2 linked regions of the Tribolium castaneum genome follow. The protein of the gene in region 1 purifies or fractionates together with the protein of each later gene. This does not show direct contact. Links are inferred from orthologs where the notes say so. Each region holds a gene or a part of one and is shown on either strand. Other genes may lie near its edges.

Region 1 (4,648 bases):
CTTAACAATCTGTACAACATCCTCATCGCAAAGAATATGATCCAAGCCGACTTTCTGAGGCTGATGCTTCACTGAAGAGCCCCAAACCAAGGCACTGAAAAAAATAGTTTAAACCAAATGTAATCTAATTAACAATTAGCCATGTAATTTGTAACAAATTACTAAAGTAATGTTCATTCATAGTTACCTAATGTAATCTGATTAATTTTTATTTAATTATTACATATTTTTTTTTGTTAAACAAAATGTTTGAAATTATATCATGAAAGTTGGTATGACATCTCGATTAAAAATGAAGAAACAGGTGTTTCAAATTTATTGAAAATTCCACCCCCAGGCTTAAAATTAGTGTAGTCTTAATTTTTTTAAGAAGTTATGAAATTGGTAGGATTTTTGGTAAAAAAATTTAATTTAAAACACCTGTATCATGCTTTTTAAAAATTCCATCATCAAGGGGGTATATCAGTTATTTTTGAAAGTTCCACCTCCAAGGGGGTTAATAGGGATTCCATTGTGCACATTTAATAATAATGTCTTATATCATCATAATTTTCTTCTTTCAACACAAGAATACTTGTTTTGCAATTACGAAAGATTAATTATATATTTCATTTATTATTGTTATTAATTTATTAATTAATTGCGATGTTTCGCCATAATTTTTTGCCAAAAAAATTGATTATAGTTGTAATATTTCTCAATCTTCTAGGATTTTTCTATTTTTTTACTTGGCACATATCAAATTCGTTCACAATATTTTGAACAGTTTTTTCGTGGAAATATATTAGTTTATGATAACTTAATGTATTTTCACATTGTTGCAAAACCAGGACTCTTCTTCGTCGAAAATTTAAATTTACTCAAATTAAATAAACAAATATTTCAATGTTTACGTACGGTGTAGCAATTACTTTAGCTGTGAAAATAAACAACTTCTTCCAGGGTTTATTACTAAAAATACAAATACGTATATATTTTATCTAACCATTTATTTACTTCTCAAATTTTGTTCTAAAATTATGAGATGAGACGTTCTTCATAACCAAAATTTTCTTTTTGTTGCAAAAATATTATCTTTGGTTACTTAACTATTTAGTTTCTGTCATCTACAGCAGTGATTTTACTGTGTTTGTTATAACTTATAATATTTATTTGTCCGAGCATTTAGTTGTTAGGGCTTTATTATCCTAGAATTTTCTATAAAAAATGTTAGTAAATTACATGACATAATTATTATTTAGTTTGTTATCAGTTATTTTGTTCATTTTTTTTAATGTGGTAAATTCAAATTTCAAATAGGTTTGTGTGAAACAAACTACGAAATTAAAATTTTGGCGTCAAATTTACTTGACATCATCAAGGGGGTATATTAGTTATTTTTGGAAGTTCCACCTCCAAGGGGGTTAATAGGGATTCCATTGTGCACATTTAATAATAATGTCTTATATCATCATAATTTTCTTCTTTCAACACAAGAATACTTGTTTTTTCCTGAAAATATGGACAGTGGACATCTTTTGCCATGATACACGAACAATTTTTTAGCGGGTGTTCAGAAGTTAACATTTTTTGAGAGATTTAAACAAAAAAACATTGCCACTCATAATCTTCACTTTAGAAAATTGAGACTAAAATCATTTTTAGTTTATCTAATTATTGGCAAATTAATCGATTACTTTTCATTTTAATTAACACATAGCTAATTATGACTAATAAAAAGATACAATTACAGTGTAATTGAATACAGAGTAATCAGATTACATTGTAATTAGCTTAGTCTGTAATAAGTTAATAACATTTTTAATTAAAAAAACTCACTATTTGAATTCTTTCGCGATGCTCCTATGCAGTTTATTACAAAAGTCTTGAATAGATGTATGCTCTGAGTGTAAAACCACTGGGGAATTGTAATCCGGAAGCTGGCCTTTCGGTTTTGTGTAACTAAAATAATTAGTTATAAAAAAGTCAACAAAAAATTACTCAATTACATCCTAACTAGTTTGAGGTACTCCCACATTTTCTCAAGCAAATCGTCGAAATTCCACCTGTGGTGGGCCGAAATAGGAACACAGTGAGGGATTTTGTAGATAATATCCAACTCCTCAATACTTATTTGATCTGAAATTCAGCCAACTAAATCACAATAAACGCAAAAACTCGGGGAAATACCGATTTTGTTGAGTATGTAAATGCACGGGACGTAGATTCGGTTCCCTTCAATCACATCGATTAGATCATCACTGGTGGCGTCATACTTTAGCGTAACATCAGCATTGTGTATTTTATACTCGGACAAGATTGACTTAACCGTGTCCGAATCAAGCTCAGACTGGGGCACCATGCAGTTCAAATTGATCCCCCCCTTGTCCTTCTTCTTGAAATAAATATTGGGGGGCTGTTTATTCAGCCTCAGGCCGAACCCTTCCAACTCATGCTCGATCAATTTTTTATGATGCAAAGGCTTCAGAACATCCAAACAGAGGAAAATCAGCGAACACGTCCGCGCGACGGCTATGACCTGCCGGCCGCGCCCCTTGCCGTCCTTCGCCCCCTCGATAATCCCCGGCAAATCGAGTAGCTGGATTTTAGCCCCCTTGTATTTAATACAGCCGGGGACTGTCGTAAGCGTTGTAAATTCATAAGCGGCCACTTCGGAGTAAACCCCCGCTAGGTTGCTAAGTAGGGTGGATTTACCGACGGAGGGGAACCCCACGAAACCAACGCGGGCATCCCCTGTTTTGGCCACGTCGAAGCCCTCGCCGGTGCCGCCACCGCCCCCTTTGGGGGTGATCAGTTCGCGGCGTAATTTGGCCAAACGGGCCTTCAGTAGCCCCAAATGGCCAGCGGTGGCTTTGTTTTTTTGGGTTCGTGCCATCTGGAAAGTGGGGTTAGGGGAGGAAATTTTGGGTTTTTTCACAAGTACTTACTTCCGCCTCGATTGCGGCGATTTTTTCTAAAATTGTACTCATTTTTTTAGATTATGTAGGCGCTTCAAGTGATAATAATAACGTTTTGTGCGAAAACCAAGCAGTTTGCGATACACGTTGCTCGCATGCGGCTGTGGAATTTTGACATATAAAAAAGCGCTAATTTTGAATTCTGTCATTTTTTTGTGAATTCGGCAATAAAATAACCAAGTGATACTTTTCGGAACTCATACGTTATTCAAAAAGTATGAATTTAACGCTTAGAATGTTATTTGCAACTCAATAATTTATCCAATACAGTAAAACCTCTCAATAACGGACACCAATTGGGGAATTTTTAATTCTCCGTTGTGGAGAGATGTCCAGTAATGGGTGGTGGAAATTTTAATGTAGGTTTTGTTACGTTCCTACAACAAAGTCCGTTGTAAAGAAGTGTCCGTTATTCGGAAGATTTCACTATATTTCAGATATAGACCGATTGCAAACACCTGTATTTTCAGTTTTTACCAAAACTTTGACAAAAATTTAAAAAATCCCAAATTCACAACTTTTGCAACCAACTGTTTAATATTCTTATAAAATAATGTGCCGAACGTAATTTTAGTAAATAAATGGCCGCCTTTATCAAAATGTCGTTTATTCGACAACCGTAACAAAAGTAACTCGAAAGCTGTTTTTTAAGGGAAATAATTCACTCTTTTTTCTTGGTCTGAACCTACACAATTTAAGAATCTTTGCATTATCAACTGCTTATTGTTATACACATCGTTAAATGAATTAGACGGCATATAATACTCTCGTCTTGACATCTGGGAACTGGGCAATTCGGGATAAGACAAAGGTAAATGACTTTCATCATAATAACTATTACTTCGATCAAGATCAAAATCCTGAAAGGGAATATTTTCCCGATTTCGGGCAAAACTCCTTTGTGACCTCTCATAGAAATCGATATTAGGTACTGGTTTATAGTACTGAGGATTATTCCTATAGTCAAAGGGGTCATAATCCCTATCCATGTTTCGTCTAATATAGGCATAACCATCACAATCATCCATATGCCCCCTGGGATAACATCGAGGAGTACCATCAAAGAGGTGTCTCTGACTGTTGTAGTGTTCCCTCCTGTCGGGAAAATCTTGTGAAATGTTTAAATAAGGATTTTGACCCAAATCCACATAATGACGATTAATAGGACGCTCTTCACACATCATCTTGTAAAAATCATTCGGTGTCTCAAAACCTCGACCATTACTTATTGGAAACATATGTGCAGGTGCACGGCTTTGGTACGGGTAAGGGTGTGACTTTTGTGTCAGAAAACTATCATCGGAACGGTTTTGATAATGACTGGGCTCAGCCATTGGTTGAAAGAACCGACTTCGACAAATCTGGTTTGTATTTTTCCTTAGCATTTCAGGCGGGGACGGTTCTCGACAATCAAAAGGATGTCTCACTTCCTTCGCCTCATTTTCAAAAAGACCTTCTTTATCAAAACTGTTTGATTTATCACTTTCTAGCTCCGAAGGTGGACCACAATCGAATTTCATCAAAGCCGACTCAAGGGAATCGTTAAAAGGATCCTCAAATATGTTCATATTTTCAGTGTTGTTTTTTTCCCCACTTTCGGTCATTGTTGTTGTATATTCCAAATTTTCTGAATTACGTGCCCCATTATTACGACGAGGTGTCAGACAAAAGTTAGAATCATTTTCAAAATA
Region 2 (3,158 bases), on another chromosome or scaffold:
AAATTTTGTTGAATTTAGAGTGTGTTAATTAATTGATACAAAAGGCAACAGCTGAGCAAAGTATTTATAATTAGACTGTTATTTCGGAAGCATAAGTTTCGGTCCTTGTACTATTACTATTATTTTTATAATTTAAGAAATTTAAACTGGTGTCGTAGTGCCAACTTAACCGACGTAAATTCTTTCAGATTGTTGTTGCGGAAGGCAGAATGGTAAGTTAAATAAATCTGAGTTTATTTTATAATTTACGGATCATCTGGTAACCAAACGACCAAGTTTCGCCCCCATTACCGTCCCCCGACTCTTGCATTGCGTTATTTCCCTCTTTCCTCGCAAATTTCGTGTTTGTGTCCGTTAGGTTAACTAACCTACAATTTTTTCAGGGTAAGGTAAAGTGCTCCGAACTGCGAACTCGCGACAAGAAGGAGCTCACCAAGCAGCTCGATGAGCTCAAAACCGAGCTCACAAGTCTCAGGGTGGCCAAAGTGACGGGCGGCGCCCCCTCGAAACTGTCCAAGATGTAAGTGTTGTTTTGCTTCAGCCACCAAGTAATGCTCGAATTACAGTCGCGTTGTACGCAAAGCCATCGCTCGCGTGTACATTGTGATGCACCAGAAGCAAAAAGAGAATTTGCGGAAGTTGTACAAGAACAAGAAATACAAGCCTCTGGATTTGAGACCTAAGAAGACCAGGGCTTTGCGCCGTGCGCTCACCAAACACGAGAGACGCATCAAGACGCCCAAGGAGCTCCACAAGAGGTCGATCTACCCCCAGAGGAAGTTCGCGTTGAAAGCTTAATTTGTACAATTAAATAAAACGTTTCGTAAAATAGTTATTTCATTTTATTCATCAGGTACGTGTTGTTTTTGGGGTCGTAGGATAAACATGTAGACCGTGTACAAGCCCTTGGGGAAGTTTCGTTGCTTCACTTGTCGGTAACAGTCCAAGTCAGCTTTTGCGAATATTTGGCGGAATAAAGACAAGGGGCGTGTGACTGAAGAGTCTCGCTCGTCTTTGTCAATTTCCTCACTTGACGAAATGTTTTCTTTGATTATTATGACACCATTTGGTTTAAGTCCACTTCTGGAAGAATAATTAATTTCAAATAAAAACTGTAACCAAAAGTGGCAAACACTTACTGGCACGACTTTAAAAACGTAACTAAATCCAGATCTGTCAAGTGCCCCAAAACCCACTGGCACCAGATAACATCGTACTGTTTCTCGGGCTTGAAACTCTGGAGCCCCACAGAATAATAATTAACCTTCTCCTGCAACTTGGGCCCTAAATACTGTTCGGCTTGACTTAGAAACTTTGGATTTTGCTCGACTAGATCAATTTGATCGAAAAAATCGCTAAGGAGGTGCTTGGTTATGCGCCCAATGCCGGCACCACAGTCAAGGGCGTGCCCCCGGCCTGGGGGCTCCTTCGAGTTAAACAGCTGCTTGAGCAGCAATTTGGAGTCCCTAATATCGGTCTGAGAGATGTGCCCGAAACCGCCGAGCATACCGTCGATGGTTGGGGGGATCTCGGACCAATACTGAACGGCGTTTGAGTAAAATGAATCATCGGTTGTCGACGCACTACTCACTTCCATTTTCACACTTAAAAATTATTAACAAAATGAAAATGAAACGAAAAAGGCGGGCACTTTACGACATAACCTATCATTTTTTGACATTTGGTAAAACTGGCACGTTCCATAAATCGCAATAAATTAATACAGCTTATTAAATTATAATTAAATATCACTCAAAATGGCAGGCAGTCGTGGGGGCGAATCACTAATTGTGTACAAATAAGTCGGTGAGTTTGTCCAAACTTTTTGATTTTTGTCAGGGTGACGTTTCGGAAAGCACCCAATTTGGCAGCGATTGTTTGGTCGACTGTAATGTTCATGATTTTTGGTGCTATTTTCTTATTCTATGATCCAATTTGACAAATCGGTGTGACAAATAGCCCCACCGGCGTTTGTCATCATGTTTTGTTGTGTTTCGTAACAAATTCAATGGATTTGTTCCATAAAGCGTTGAAAACAATACTTTCGTTATCATGATTGTGATAAGGCACCCCAAATGCTATTAAAGGCGTGTTGGTAGTGGACGGTTTTAGTTACAAAATGCGCATAATTAGAACAATGCAAATCAGAAAAGTGTTTCTTCTGGCCATTTCTTCAGCCTTTGGTATTCTGATGTTACTTATAGTAACACGGGACTCTCCAATAAATGACATCGACCGAAAATTCCGATTGTGAGTATGAATGAGTTATTTTCGTAAATTCGAATTTGTGGCCTTTAGGGAAAAAATCGACGAACTGATTCACTCACAGGCGAGCTCCCTGGCTTGCAAACAGCCCAACTTGCCGGTATTTTCCCCCGAAATGATGAAATTCGTCCATGAGGAGCCCCCAATTGACTGTTCATCGGCAGGGCCGGACTGGGTCAAATGCCAAGTAAAGTTTTGCCGAATTTTAGCACAACTCTCAAACGCTGATTCAAGGGTAGCGAGTGTCGAATCCAGGACGAAATTAAGGCGAGACACGGACGCGTCACTTGTTCTTTCACTGATATAATCCGAGTCAATGATTTTGAGTCAACCAGTGGGGAAACAACCTACTCAGACTCCTACTATAAACTCGAAGCGAGCGATGTAGTCAAAGTTTCGTGTCGGGGGCAAAAGGCCCAATGGTCGGCGACTTTGACCGGAATTCGCCTCGATAAAAAAATTTGGGAGAATACTAGTTGGAGTAAACTACCCTCGGACGCTGTGAAGTTCAACGTTTTGATGTTCGGTTTCGACTCAATTTCGCGCAACTCTTTCGTGCGAAAGTTGCCCAAAAGCTACAAGTTTTTGACTGAAATATTGCACGGGGACGTTCTACAAGGGTATAACATAATCGGGGACGGAACCCCGCAAGCCCTAATACCGATTTTAACGGGGAAGACCGAACTGGAACTCCCTGATACGAGAAAACGGTTCGCAAACACGAAATTCGTGAACTCGTACCCGTTTATTTGGAATGAGTACAAGAAGGCGGGATACGTGACTGGTTACTTTGAGGATGTGCCCGAACTGGGGATTTTTACATATCGCCTAAATGGTTTCAATGTTTGTGTGTTATTGTATTGTTGGCTATGAAGTCAGAAATGGTTTTAGGA

Evidence for each region. The genes of interacting proteins can lie anywhere in the genome.
Region 2: the proteins of 128up (region 1) and Ntmt purify together in Homo sapiens (affinity purification with mass spectrometry; 3 studies listed by BioGRID and IntAct, counting the BioPlex papers as one, with this or other methods). This does not show direct contact. The link is inferred for Tribolium castaneum from reciprocal best matches to the Homo sapiens genes DRG1 and NTMT1.

Annotation. Positions count from the first base shown.
Region 1 is NC_087399.1:7,814,685-7,819,332, reverse strand, and holds the start of 128up (GTP-binding protein 128up), read right to left. Parts: upstream 3,083-4,648; 5' UTR 2,970-3,082; coding exon 2,928-2,969; intron 2,876-2,927; coding exon 2,170-2,875; intron 2,119-2,169; coding exon 1,989-2,118; intron 1,942-1,988; coding exon 1,819-1,941; intron 95-1,818; coding exon 1-94. Other genes in the region: probable ATP-dependent DNA helicase HFM1, read right to left, coding at 3,605-4,648. UniProt on the Homo sapiens protein: Catalyzes the conversion of GTP to GDP through hydrolysis of the gamma-phosphate bond in GTP. Appears to have an intrinsic GTPase activity that is stimulated by ZC3H15/DFRP1 binding likely by increasing the affinity for the potassium ions.
Region 2 is NC_087398.1:11,363,597-11,366,754, reverse strand, and holds Ntmt (N-terminal Xaa-Pro-Lys N-methyltransferase 1), read right to left. Parts: upstream 1,841-3,158; 5' UTR 1,682-1,840; coding exon 1,665-1,681; exon of another isoform or gene 1,662-1,664; coding exon of another isoform or gene 1,657-1,661; intron 1,605-1,656; coding exon 1,140-1,604; intron 1,084-1,139; coding exon 843-1,083; 3' UTR 820-842; downstream 1-819. Other genes in the region: RpL35 (large ribosomal subunit protein uL29), read left to right, coding at 210-212, 384-520, 567-798; uncharacterized protein LOC659581, read left to right, coding at 2,120-2,250, 2,299-2,452, 2,500-3,108, 3,157-3,158. UniProt on the Homo sapiens protein: Distributive alpha-N-methyltransferase that methylates the N-terminus of target proteins containing the N-terminal motif [Ala/Gly/Pro/Ser]-Pro-Lys when the initiator Met is cleaved.